2 linked regions of the Pelodiscus sinensis genome follow. The protein of the gene in region 2 interacts with the protein of the main gene of each other region in a biochemical or structural test. Links are inferred from orthologs where the notes say so. Each region holds a gene or a part of one and is shown on either strand. Other genes may lie near its edges.

Region 1 (7,301 bases), about 13 Mb from region 2:
GGCCCAAATATGCTGGCTGCTGTGACCCTGGATAACTGTAAACACAGATAAGAGAGATAACTGTAAACACAGATAACACAAGCCAATCACTGACCAAGAGGCTGCAGAAACTGCCCTTGGTTGGCACCTATGTTGATACAAGCACACAACCATCCCGGGAGAGGAATCTCTTGCTGAGTAAAGTGATAGAAATGTAGCCGTGTTAGTCTGGGGTAGTTGAAGCAAAATGCAGGACAATGTAGCACTTTAAAGACTAACAAGATGGTTTATTAGATGATGAGCTTTCGTGGGCCAGACCCACTTCCTCAGATCAAATAGTGGAAGAAAGTAGTCACAACCATATATACCAAAGGATACAATTTAAAAAAAATGAACAAATATGAAAAGGACAAATCACATTGCAGAACAGAAGGGGGATGCGGGGGGGTGGGAAGGGGGAGGAAGGAAGGTAAGTGTCTGTGAATTGCTGATATTAAAGGTAGGGAGAGTGGGATGTTTGTGAGTTAATGGTATTACAGGTGATAATTGGGGAAACTGTCTTGGTAATGGGTGAGAAAGTTCAAAGACTTGTTAAGTCCTTGTTGGTAAGTGTCGAATTTTAACATGAATGACAGTTCAGAGGATTCCCTTTCAAGTGCAGATGTAAAAGGTCTTTGTAGCAGAATGCAGGTGACTTAGCCACCTGCATTCTGCTACAAAGACCTTTTACATCTGCACTTGAAAGGGAATCCTCTGAACTGTCATTCATGTTAAAATTCGACACTTACCAACAAGGACTTAACAAGTCTTTGAACTTTCTCACCCATTACCAAGACAGTTTCCCCAATTATCACCTGTAATACCATTAACTCACAAACATCCCACTCTCCCTACCTTTAATATCAGCAATTCACAGACACTTACCTTCTTTCCTCCCCCTTCCCACCCCCCCGCATCCCCCTTCTGTTCTGCAATGTGATTTGTCCTTTTCATATTTGTTCATTTTTTTTAAATTGTATCCTTTGGTATATATGGTTGTGACTACTTTCTTCCACTATTTGATCTGAGGAAGTGGGTCTGGCCCACGAAAGCTCATCATCTAATAAATCATCTTGTTAGTCTTTAAAGTGCTACATTGTCCTGCATTTTGCTGAGTAAAGAATGTCCAGTACTCCCAATTTAGTTATCTCTCTTACAAGTGTAAATTAAGTTCACAACTCCCTTGTAAGAACTGGCGTCGCAAAGACGAACCAGCACAATTTGGCACCATAGATAAGAAAGAGAATACGTGACCCCACGGGTATAAAGATGGGCCCAGCAGCACACTCACTCTGAGCATCAATCTACCATCTACCTGCTGGTCGGGTTATGTTATTGTCTCCCAAGGTCCACACGGGGATGCCCATCCTCGTATTCATCTTTCTGAGGAATTGAGTGACCAATCCTGGCCTGACACGCTGGAATCGAGAGATGCAGAAGGGGGTAAAAATTGTATCTTTATGTGTCCTTTTGTTTTAGTGCATGCATAGAATAGAGTTCTTTAAAGATTAAGCTGTCACTTGGTACCGTTATTTTATCTTCCTTTTCCTTTGCAACCATTTTAAGATCTGTATTTGCTAGCAGTTAAGAAGTAGAACAATAGTCACTGTAACCGTATGCTTATAAGTCTCTTTAATAAACCTGTAACTGTTTAAGCTTTAACCTGACTCCTTCTGTTGCTGTATCAGAACCAGACACGATCAAAAGAACTAGCCGGTAGACGCAGTAAGAGCTGGGCATTGGGGTTCTGCCGCCTCCACAGGGCAGACCCTTGGGGCACCCATCAGCCTCTCCTGGCTGCCTGCTGCGAAGGGACTTTTGTCCTAGCAGCTAAAAACTCAGGTGTAATAAACTCTCTCTGCACCAACCTGGGGCACCAGTCAACCTCTCCTGGCTGCCCGCTGCAAAGGGACCCTGTCCTAGCAGCCAAAGACTCGGGTGTAAAACTTTGGGGCACCTGTCAGCCTCTTCTGGCTGCCCGCTGTGAAGGGACTCTGTCCTAGCAGTTGAAGACTCAGGTATCATAGGGCTCACAGACCACACACTACCCCGGCCACCGGCTGACACGGAGGTGGAGGAGGCGAGATTTTATGCACTGCCCTCACCCCTGGGCCAGTCATTGTAGCTCCCATTGGCCAGAAACCAATGCAATGATTGGCCTGGGGGTAGGGGCAGTGTGTGAAGTCTCCCTCCACCCTCCGCCAGGGGTACCCCATGCAGAGTGGCACATGGAGCCTGCACCCCCTCCTGTACCCCTCCTCCAGGTCAAATCCCCCTCCTTGACCCTGCACCCCAATCCTCTGCCCCAGATCACAACCCCCTCCTTCACCTACTCCCTCTCAGACCTCACAGCCTCTCCTGAACCTCCGTCTCCTACCCCAATCTCCCTTCTGTACCCAACCAATGTCCCAGGACCTGCACCCTCTCCACAGAAGTGCGGCTCTTGACCACTTACCAAAATCTTGGAGTGGCCTCCCACCAAAAATTATTGCTCCACCCCGATCTATACTGTACCTGGGAATGGATGGTTAGGGGTATTACACTGGCCCTAGACACCGCATGGTAGGGGGAGGTGCCAGAATTAAGTTCACTATGGGCTGCAGGGGGAAGCAAGCACAGATCTGTTGCATCTAAAGGTCAACCAGAAACTGCAGTATGTCTATTTGCTCCCTGACAAGTGGTATCATCTCTTGTTTCCTGTTTCTCCTGTCCATTCTGTCCTTGTGTGCCATTCTCCAAGCCCTCTGCTCTGTCTGTGAAGCACCAGAGGCTTGTAGGATTTCCTGTAACATGTCTTCTCCTGTTCTGTTCTTTCTCCTCTTTCTCTCGCTGAGCCACTCTAGTGGCATACTTGGAGAGACCCTCAAAGACACATTGTCAGCTGCAAAAGAAACAATAGACAGGGGTACTCTTGGGAGTACAATCACTCACCTCGATAGAGCACTCATCATGGCTGGGAATGCTGTTGTGTGCAATGAATCCCAGGCAGACATGTGAGTGCTTGTAACTTGTGTCTGAGGGTGGGGAACCTCAGACAATAAAGGGGGGGGAACTCACAGGCAAGAATATACAAAGACATGGTAATTGAACAGAATACTAACTGAATACTGGCACCATTTTCCACAGACAGTGATGACGTTAGCTAATATCTCACTCCTGAGGATTGCTGAGGCTAAAATGGAACAACTCCTGCACGCATCTGGCTGCGGACCAGGAACATACTGTGGTAATCTGCATATTGCAATGATGCCTGCTGAAGTAATTTCTGAAGGGTGTAGGAAAGTGTCTTACCACAGCGGAAGAAATAAGGCAGTCCTCTCCAGAAACCTTTGGCAAAGGATTACTGATTCCCCTCCAGCATTCACAGACCATCCTGTTGCACATAAACAAACATCTCTGCCAGGTTCCCTCTGTCTAAATCTTGAGAAGCAAATAGCAATACTCTATTGATTATTTCACTATCCCTTTGCAGCATGATTAAAAAAGAATAAATGAACAGATGTACCCTTGCCATTTCAAAATAAACAGCATATTTACCAGAGATTCCTTCCACCTGCACCAGTGCTGGACTGCTGGTAGTCGCTCAAGTATTCAGGAATCAAAAAAGTGATCCTGGATTGCAGTGACACTGGATCCCCCCTGCCCTCCTCCACTTCTGCATCCAGCACCTCATCCTCAGGGTTCAGTACAAGGTGCTGAGGATGGTATGCAGCTCCGAATAAAAACATCAGGTCTATGGCTCTGCACCAAAGCAACTGTTTGACTCCTGACTTCTGTTATGCTTGCTGCAGCTCCTTGATTTTCACACAGCACTGCTGTATTTCCCTCTCATAGCCCTACTTCCCCATGCTCTGAGCAATATGCTCATAGATGTCAACATTTCTACAGCAGTATCAGAGCTGTGCCTGCATGGCCTCTTCTCCCCACAGACCCGGAAGAACCAATACCTCTGTATTCTTCAGCCAGGAGCATGTTTGCAGTGTAGAGCCTTCATGGTCAGCTAGACATTTGCTATGATGGGCCATTATGGGACATCTCACTAGGAGGGTGGAGAAACACTGGAATGAATGGGTTACCTGGGGAGATGGTGGGATCTCCATCTCTAGTGGTTTTTTAAATCCTGGCTTAACAAAGCCCTGCCTGGGTGATTTCATTGGGATAGGTCCTGCTTTTAGCAAGGAGTTGGACTCAATGACCTCCTGAGGTCACTTTCAACCCTATGGTTTTATGATTCTAGGAGCTCCTGGAGACCACTAAAGTCAATGTAAATAATACAGCGTCCACCCTGACACTGCATCAACCCAGCTATATGGAACAAAACACTGCCTCTCATGGATGTAGAGTTATTAAGTCAGCATAGTGGGTGAGTTACATTGATGGAAACTGCGTTTTGGTTTAGATGCTTATACAATTAGGTTGACATAAGCTGCCCTCCATTGACTCAAATCTGCAGTGTAGACCGGGCCTGACAAATATCCTCTTTGTCTCCCTTTCCTGCATACCCCTGAAAACATACACAATGCCAGTGTGAAACCCTTGGAAGTTTTTGATAAGTTAATTGAACATTAGCAGGAGATTGTTCTGATATCAAAGAGAATACATGCACTTTATATGCTGATAGGCATTTTATTGGGATTTCTGGCAGAAAATCTTGATCAGATAAGTTAGGTGACCTGGGAAACTGAGCTGAAGGAACTTCATCTGGATAACCAGAGATAATGCATCAGGCCCAGCAGTTTTCTCAGAAATGTTTTGTCAAAATGCCTCTAGGCCATTGGAGGTGAGACAGGGAAGATGTGTAGAGAGAACTCAAGTTGCAAATGCTACTGTTTATACAACAGCTATTAAATGCCACAGTCTATGAAAAAACAAATATCCTTACCATGGAAAAACAATCATTCATTATATAATAGCATTAGAAATATTTTGGATGTTCATGCTTTGCAGCTACAATGAAATCCTTGTGCAACATTACCACATTTTAGTCTGAAAGCCATGGACAACTAAAACTCCCTAAAAGTCATCAACACTTTGGATAGAGCAGGAACGGATGGAATGAGCCCACTGTTGAAATGCCTCACAAATAAAATTATTATGCCTCCTGCAAAATCTGCTGCTAAGCAACTAAATTTCAGAATTTTCTAATGATATTTGGTCATTTTAAATCACTTCCATGCTAACTAAAATATAGGTAGTAACCTTGTAAACCCTTACAGACATGAGCACTCCCATCTCATAAAAAGTCAAAGGAACTACTCCCATAAGTAATGTTGCAGGAACCAGTACTTACTTACTGGCTGCTTACTATTTTAACTGAAGCTTCACAGAAAAGGTTAACTAATAGTTTATCTTTATGTTTGTTTATTTCTTCAGTGCCTCTAGCCAGACAGGAACCCCCCTTGTAACATCCATTTTTGCTTGCCTGGAGCATCCAGGGCACACAGAGCAGAAGGCCCAGGCTGCTGTGACCGTGAATGGCTGTAAACAGAGATATGCCAATTGCTAACCAAGAGGCTGCCAAGGAGTGCCCTTGACTCAAACCCATACTGATACGAACACTCAGCCGCCCGCGGGGGGGAGGAATCTCTCGCCCAGTAAAAAAATGTCTAGTATTCACAATTTAGTTATCTCTCTTGCAAGTGTAAATTAACTTGAAACTTGCTTGTAAGAACTGGCGCCACAAAATGGACCAGTACAATTCGGCATCTTAGATAAGAAAGAGGATACGGGCCCCCAGGGGTATAAAGATGGGTCCAGCAGCGCATTTTCTCTGAGTGTCAATCTACCATCTATCTGCTGGTTGGGTTAGGTGTTTGATCTCCCGAGGTTCCAAGGGGACGCCCACCTCGTATTCGTCTTTCCTAGGAATTGAGAGACTGGCCCTGGCCTGACACGCTGGAGTCGAGAGGCACAGAAAGGGGTAAAAATTGTACCTGGATGTGGTCCTTTGTTTAAGTATATATATACATAGTGTTAGAGCTCTTTAAAGATTAAGCTGTCATTTGGTACCATTATTTCTATTTTCTATCTTTACCTTTTTCCTGTAACCATTTTAAGATCTGTATTTTGCTAATAATTATGAAATAGAGCAATAGCCATTGTAACCATATGCTTTTATAAGTCTTTTAATAAACCTGTAACTGTTTAAGCTTTAACCTGACTCCTTCAGTTGCTGTAATAGAACCAAGCACAATTTAAAAGAACTTCAGCCGGTCATAAAGGGACAGACATAGGGAGAGCTTGGGCATTTGGATCTGTGTCACTCCCAGGTGACAAGATCCGTTGGGGCACCTTTTCAGCCTTTCCCAGGCTGCCCGCTGCGAAGGAACTTTGTGTTCTAGCAGCTAAAATCTAAGGTGTAATAAGCTCTTCCTATATAACGGGGCGTCTGTTGGCCTGCTGGCCACCCTCTGCGATGGGACCCCGGTCCTAGCAGTAAAGACACGGACGTTAAACCTTTTCTCGGAAACACACACACACACACACACACACACACACACACACACTGCCCTGACCGTCAGCTGACAGTGCCCCATAGGCATCTGGGGATTCCAGAATTCTGTCACGTGACTGGTTTTAAAAGCTGAAATTATTCACACCAAAGCCTAAATTCAAAGTTGTGTAATTAGGTATAAGAATTCCAGATGATTACTCTCTGAGAACAATGTAAACTTTTTACAGAAATTCTTAGGGTCTGGCATTTTGTCCTGTTGGTGTACATTTAAAGAGATTGTTTCCTATAAATAACAAATAAGTGCTACAACAGACAGAACTATGATAGGAAGAGTTCCTGAATACGTTTCCCAGGGAAGACATTCTGTAATTTAAAATAAAATTGAAGCAAGAAATAGAGAGAAGGAGACCATCCAGACTACAGCCGAGGAATGCACAGTCTGATTCAGAAGGGGATGCGAAAGTGACTGATCTTAGGCTATCTAATTGTCAGAAATTAATACAGCCTGACAACTGCTCTCATGCCATTTCTCCATGGCCCCGAAGGTGTGATGCTGAACATTGCTGTGGCACATCCATACCCTTATTTCCCTGGCCCTGCTCCTCTGCACTGACAACAGGTGTGTTCAGTGAAGGGATGATCCACCTATGGTTGGCCGTGACTGAGTAATGCAAAATGATCCTCCAGCAAAGCAAGGATCAGGGCCAGTGCAGCCATGTGCTGGGTTCAAAGGCCATTTTATCTTGGATCTTCAATCCTACTTAGAAACGTCACTTAAAATACACAGTACCGACAGATGCATAGCACCACAATACACAGATTTTTCCAT
Region 2 (7,096 bases):
GAATGAAGTTTACCGGGACATCAGAATAGCGCGCCCGTTATTTCGATTACATTTTGAAGTAATGGACGTGCTGTCAAGACGCAGAAAACGCTATTTGAGGATACTGGTAGTATCCCAAAATAGTGCCGCAGTGTAGACATACTTTAACAGACCCCAAAACAAGAGTTGTGAACATATTATTAAACAACACTCAGATCCTTTCTAGCCACATTTTATGTTATAACTGTGTCGAAGCAAAAACACGCTCCTCTGTGTTTAGGCAGCTAACAAACAGCTTTATTAATTAATAAAGCACAGCATGAGCCAAACGTGGTCACAGCAGAGCCGGGCCCAGTAAGGCTGCTAATACAATCAATCCTAGTATCTTTATACCCTTAGCCAAACAGTCTGACGTCAGGGCATCCAATTACAGAAATCCTCAATTAAATTTGGAAAAACAAAGCCTTATCAACAAGATGGCGTACAGGTACGAGGGAGTACATCTCCTGTCCCAACCAGCCCAATTAACACATACCAATAGCCCGTCCTGTAGGCCTCTTCTCACGGGGTGACAGAAAGTTCACTCTGGTCTACGTGCTTGAGAGAAAAGCTGAAATGGTTTCTGATATACAAGATGGCTTCTAGCTAAACATAAAATAGCTTCTACAACTGTATATAAATACTTACCATGTACGAAGGTAAACACACAGGAAAATGCATCTTAAAATTAGTATTTCCAAAGATTTGGATTCAGTTCATTACACTGTGAATTTTGTATTTGTTACCAGGATTATTTCCCATATTGGTATAGTGATGCTACTTCATGAGCAATGGAATATGTAGGCTATTTGTTCATTGGGAACAAACATTCAGGTTATCAGTGAAGTAGTACTACATCTATCCAATTTTTCAGATGACTTGTGCCCCTTTTGGTATATTTTTTTAAATATGCATGTCTATAAAGTGGATGAGGAAGAGGATCTGGAGAGTTTGATGTTGGTATTGAAAGCAGCACTAAAATTATATTCTTCTCTTTTTGGGAAGCAAATAGCACAAGAATCTGGTGGGATTAAGTCTATACATACAAATTTGGGCCCCAAATATCAACCAGATAACTAGAGCAACCCACTAAATTTTAGAAAGTCAGGTATCATGGCTGTCTTAAAATTATTCTTTTTAAGGTACTCTGATTTTGGATTCTGAGCAATCTTTTAAGCTCCCAGGAGAAAATGTAATTTTTCTTAAAGTGAGAGTGGGTGCAAGAGAGACAGGATTGTTACCATAATTACCAAGACACTGCCTGAAAGGAGAAGCTCACCTTTGTGTGGACACAGATTTTCATAGGTAGAGTTTCCTTTGTCGTCGATACTTATTTGCTTCCAGCTATGAGGGTATTTCTTACCCATCTTGATCATTACCTTCGGGCCTTGTTTGGAGAGAAAGAGAGAGCTATTTGCCACCTGGAGGAGGCCTTCCTTTTTGTGGCAGGTCCAGCTGGGTGCCTGAGGGCAGTCTATGAAGATGCTGCGGGATGATGCAGCAGAGGACTTGGAGATGCCCAAACACTGGCCAGATTTAACATGGAGAAGTTTCTCATAGTCTGTCCACATCCACTGCTGGTTTGGATCCGTCAGATTGCAGTTGCTCACTAACGCTGTTTTGCCTCTAAAAAGGCATTGCTGTTTCTGGACATGGATAATCAGAAACCCTCCTGGAAGATGAAAAACCCATAAAAATGCAGCAAATCATATGTGGCATTTAAAAATGAATCCCAATGACTTCAAAATAATCCTCCTTTTTTCTTTCCCACTTTCTGTGTATCTCAGCTTTTTATGACTGGCACCAGCAGAAATTATTTTAAAAGGCACAAAATCACAATTGTTTGGTCAGGGAAATGCGAAGAGAGAGAATGCAACAAACCCTGACTTTCTACTTAAAAACAAAAGAAATCTAACTTGAATTAAAATATGGGTTATTGACTTTCACTTCACTTCTGAAAACCCTGTCCCTCCTCTTCCAATACACAGAGATCCATTAGCCTTCCTTACTCTCACCTTAAATTAAATTCACTGTACATAACTGGAAATTGATTTTTTAAAACAAATCTTAGTATTTGGTGGAGGAGGGTGACAGAACAACATCTGTGTGCTGTGTGAAAAAGGATGGGAACTTTTGACTGATATGAACTCTGTGTATCTTACACACCTAAATACATTGACTCCTCCAGTCATTACTTTGTAACTATCTCACTATAGATCAGATTGATTCTTTTATTATCCCAGTTTATATGTATAGAGCCAATGATAAAATGAAGAGAAGAAAAAATCATTCATTGAAATCAAATTTCCCCAACCCCAAAAGCCCATTTGTTATTAAGAACAGAATTGGAAGGTTCACTAGCAATCTCAATTTGACTCTCATTTCATTGATCACGTTTTATTGCAAGTCAGTTAATTCATCAAAACTTAAGGCTCCACTCGATAAACAAAATCATTTAAAAACAAAACACGTAACTTCTTTTGTTTCTTCATTCACACTTTTTTATGGCGTAGGACATAAAACTGTTCTAAGTGCCCATAGAAGCTTTAGGTTTGGTAAGTTTCACAAAGCCTTACTAAGTAATCTGAATCTCTCTTCAAAGAAATCTAGCTCAGGATTCTGCCTCAGAACTGTCTAGTTGAAGATATTTTTTAAAAGGTATTCAAGGAGAGACCGTTTATTTTCCTTTGGAGAGAAATCTAAACAGTACGGGCTTTGTTGGCCCAGCCCTCCCCCTCCATCTCTCTTATATAAACTCAGGCTGAGAAGTGGCTCCATTTCCACAGCACTGAATAAGTTTCAACAACCCTTAGGAGCCCTGGTTAGTGACACAATGGGAACTGGAATGGAGGATAGACACCGGGCGATGTGCTTACCTGAGATCTTGAAGGCCAGGAAGGTAAAAATCAGGACATGAAGTAAGGGATCCATTTTCCAGCTAACAACTCCCCATGCTTCTGTTTAAAAAAAACCACACACACACACACGCAACACACACACACACACACACACACAAAATCACCACCTCAGATAAGTGAAGTGAAGGCTAGGAAGGAAATGTGCCTTCACAGGAGGAAAAGTCAGTGACGAGCATTTCCTTCTATTCAATAGTTTTGGGGAATTTCATACCAGTTTGTCCTTTCATATGATTCTTCAGAGTTTACAGACTCTGATTTATTTTGGAAAAACCCAAGCAAAAAGGGGATAGATTTTGAAACTACCAGTGCTCGCTCACACACAAATAAAAAACATGCTTCAACATCTGAATAAAGTGCTGGATTAAAAATATAAGGAACAGAGATTGTAATTTCATGTAACTGACCACTCATAAAACATTCCATGGCTGAATGTGGTTTGGCTAGTGATGAATAAATACATACTAGCCTATCAATTTTTCACCATTCACAGTTTCTAGAATATGTTGCGAGTCCATCAAGCAAAATCACATTATTAGATATCATTTCCAACTCCTCTGTGAGTTCTGAAAACTATAATATTGTGGGAGTACTAATCTATGAGTTCTTCTCATTGTACACTCCCACTATGGGATCAAATTATGTTGACTTTTCGTCAACATTGTCTGATCCATGTTGCCTACATACAGTGAGAGTTTGCCTTAATGAAAAGCTGGGTAAAGGCCTCAAAGATTTGACCTCCAAATGGCCAGAAGCCAGCATAGAATTAACTAGAGCAGATTGGGCTATATTTGCCTTATCAGGGTATCATGATAATGGTAATGGTTACTTACTGTAGGCAATAAACCTCCAGATGCACTAACTATTTTGTATCAAGGGTAGTTTATTGTCAGTATGAAGCAAAGTCAACATCACTGAATTAAAAACTGATTTAATCCTAGTTGCTGTAAGTAGTTATGCTAGATTTACATTTCTCTTAATGAACAAATCTTTGCAGAAATATAAGGAAACATTCATAAAAACATTTTTTTGTATAACTTCCTGTAACAGAACAGCTCCTCTTTCCAAAGGCATCCATCTCTTAACAGAAGTGATACAACAGGGAGATAACATATTCAAAAAATCCACTCTTAGTGAAAGATGGGCAAATATTTAAAATCCTTACCATTGAATATATGCTATAAAGTTTCCTTTAAAAGTAAAATGACTCATACAGTTTACAAATACACTGGATTCAGGTCAGGAACAGAAGCAGTTTCTAACAGTATAGAGTACAATCAACAGTATAGAGTAATTACATACATATACATTGAATAACAGAGGTTGTGCTCTGTCACTGCATTATAGGACTTATTATAAATATGCATTAAATAGCTAAATAGTATGAAGAACAGATATTTCCATATAAAAGATAACCGCTTTTGAACAGTTTCCAAAACAAAAGGACTTTTCTTCTTAAATCCATAATTAATCACTTGCAACTTTAGCAGCAAGAGTTTTATGTGGCCAAGAAATAAGCTCACCACATAATAGGTAATAGCACTTAACAGGTACAGTTTAACAGCTGACAGTCCATTCACAAGACAGAGTTGGCAAATGTTAAAGCATTTATACACTTAGAAAAACATTTCTTCTGAAGAAGTTCCAATTTCCATCTGACTGCAGCCGTAGCACATACATACGTTCTGTATAGCAGATATTATTACAGTAATAAATCCACCTTTTAGATATATACGTGAAATCCACATGTAGCATCAGTATAGTACCTTCTTTAAAAATCATTTCAGGATGCTTACAATATATTCATATACAGTAAGTGTCTGGCTATCTTTATAGTTTTGCCAAACCATCCATAGTCCTTTCACAAGTTGGCGTCAAAGCACCTCTCTCCACTGTAGTAAACTCCTTGACGAAGTTGCTGGTAGGTAATGAAACAAATTACCTCAAGAGACTGACATTCTGGTCCCCCTTCGTGGTTTCACTGGACTGCTTCTTCAGCGAGTCGACTTTCATACAGACTCAGTGCATGGTGCACAAATTCATATTGTTCACTGGTCTGAACCATTCCACCTCTGAAAAGAAAGTGCAATAGAATGAAATCTTATTTCTTAAAAATCAAACAAATCTGCTCTCGTGCTAAGAACCAGAAAACACGTGAGGTCAAATCCTGAGGTCTATTCTGAGTTTTAATTTCAGTGAGAGTTTGTCTGAGCAAATGGCAGTTTGGCCTGAGTAGTGCTCTTCAAGTGATATTTGTCTTGTTATTACATCATGACTATCCAACCCTGACACAACAGATGTATGAGCTGTAGGGAAACATTTAGCTGGCAGGTAAGCTGTTAAAATCCAGATTTCAAACCCAATGCAATTATGGGGAATCTCCCGAAAAGCAATGAACACGCTGTATTTTAAGCACGACTAAGATTAGATATGTCATAAAAAGCTTAGTCACTTGTGGCAGATTCTTACACCCTTTATTCAAGTTGAGTTCTGGACTCACAGAGCAGCCCCATTGATTTTATTGGGGTTGTTGGAGGAATGAGGTGCTACTTAGCATGAGTAAGGGTAAGAGAATCTGGCCCAGTGTGCACAGACTTCATTCTTCTTCATATCCTAAAAATGTAACCTATGGTGACCCTTAGATCACATGTGCAGAGACCAGCTCTTCCTGTCCTCTTTCTAACGCCTACAATGCATCCGGTCTAAACAGCAGACAGAGAAGAAATTTTACAGCGGTGACTCATTTCTGCGCCAGCAATGCAACTTAGTTTAACTTGAGCATAAAAAAGTGCTCAGTGCAGTCAGTTTGGATCAGCTACTTACACCTAATATAGCTGTATGATAGCTCAGCTGGTAGCACTGGGGCTTTCAGGAATCCCACAGTAGGACCTAAACTATCCAGTGTTGAAAGTGAGTGAGGAGATGCTGTGCCAGATGGAATACTGGCTGAGGCTGTACTGCAGTACTAGCATTGTCTTTCAGATAACAAACATGGGCCAGGGCCCCTCACACATTTGGGACCCAGACACAGTAGGTGCTATTGCAACTCCAAAATGTTAAAAACAACTGCAACCTGATCACTGCAGAGACATCCTTGCCTCCCTTCCCAAGCTTGCATCAAGCCAGCTACTTGGAGCAGATGTGTGTGCCTGTCTGGGAAGGAAGGATGTGGCCCACAGGGAAAGGAAGATTCATACCTGCACTTCAAACTGCGTTTGCCAACCCTCATTGAATTAGGTGATTTCAGTGGGAGGCTTGCATCACACGGATGTAGAATCTGGCCTTTTTAAATACAAGGCTTGCTAGGCCACAGAAACTATCAGGTTAACACATTTTTTTAAATATCTGTGGTTTTTCTAACAGAAAAAAAAGACAATTGATAGGTAGACCTATTGTACCTATTGTAACACAATGTATTCAACAAGTAGCTTCTCTTATTTAAGATCTTCCTGTTGGCCTACCATTTTGAGGTCCTTTCAGTTTCTTCATTGCTACTGGATGTCCAAATAGCCATGAGACAAAAACTGCTTACTTCCAGCTGCAACTGGCAAGAAGACTCTACTCCTTAAACAGTATTGGGCTTGGCCATCGTGAGCCACATATTTGTGACTTCCAACCTTGATTATTGCTATCCATTATTCCTAGTAATGAAGCCACATAGCCTGAAAAATCTTTAGCTGACACAAAATGCAGCAGTTCATCTGCTCAGCAACAGAGACTGCCATAAGTACATCATTCTACGGCTTCTGTCTCAGCACTGGCTCCTTGATGAATATGGAGTACATTTCCAGGTCTCCTGGTTGATATTCTAAGTACTCCATGGAACTGACCCTAGATACTTATGGGATCACCTGTTCTTTCAGTGACCATGAACTCCTGCAACAGCTGCATTCCACTGGAATGAGGAAGCTGCTTTCCAGTCGTGGGGCGGAGGCTTGAAATTGGGACACAGAATTTTCACAAGAGCTGGCCCTAGATTGTGGAACTCACTCCCAGAAAAGAATGCCCATATGCCTCACATACACCACAGAGTAACACAGCCCAACTAATCAAGCCATCTCTCCTACAGATTGCAGTAGAAGAAAGAGATCACTATTGGTTCTTTTTGATTTGGGAGGCACTGAGATACTACAGTTCTGTATAATTATCTAGTTCAAGAGACT

Evidence for each region.
Region 1: the proteins of PTPRB (region 2) and CNTN1 form a complex in vitro, tested with the Homo sapiens proteins (2 studies listed by BioGRID). The link is inferred for Pelodiscus sinensis from reciprocal best matches to the Homo sapiens genes PTPRB and CNTN1.

The regions. Positions count from the first base shown.
Region 1 is NC_134711.1:52,062,046-52,069,346, reverse strand, and holds the start of CNTN1 (contactin-1), read right to left. Parts: upstream 3,003-7,301; 5' UTR 2,950-3,002; intron 1,462-2,949; exon of another isoform or gene 1,325-1,461; intron 1-1,324. UniProt on the Homo sapiens protein: Contactins mediate cell surface interactions during nervous system development.
Region 2 is NC_134711.1:64,675,770-64,682,865, forward strand, and holds the start of PTPRB (receptor-type tyrosine-protein phosphatase beta), read right to left. Parts: upstream 3,048-7,096; 5' UTR 2,950-3,047; coding exon 2,895-2,949; intron 1,691-2,894; coding exon 1,298-1,690; intron 1-1,297. Other genes in the region: PTPRR (receptor-type tyrosine-protein phosphatase R), read right to left, coding at 4,912-5,005. UniProt on the Homo sapiens protein: Plays an important role in blood vessel remodeling and angiogenesis. Not necessary for the initial formation of blood vessels, but is essential for their maintenance and remodeling. Can induce dephosphorylation of TEK/TIE2, CDH5/VE-cadherin and KDR/VEGFR-2.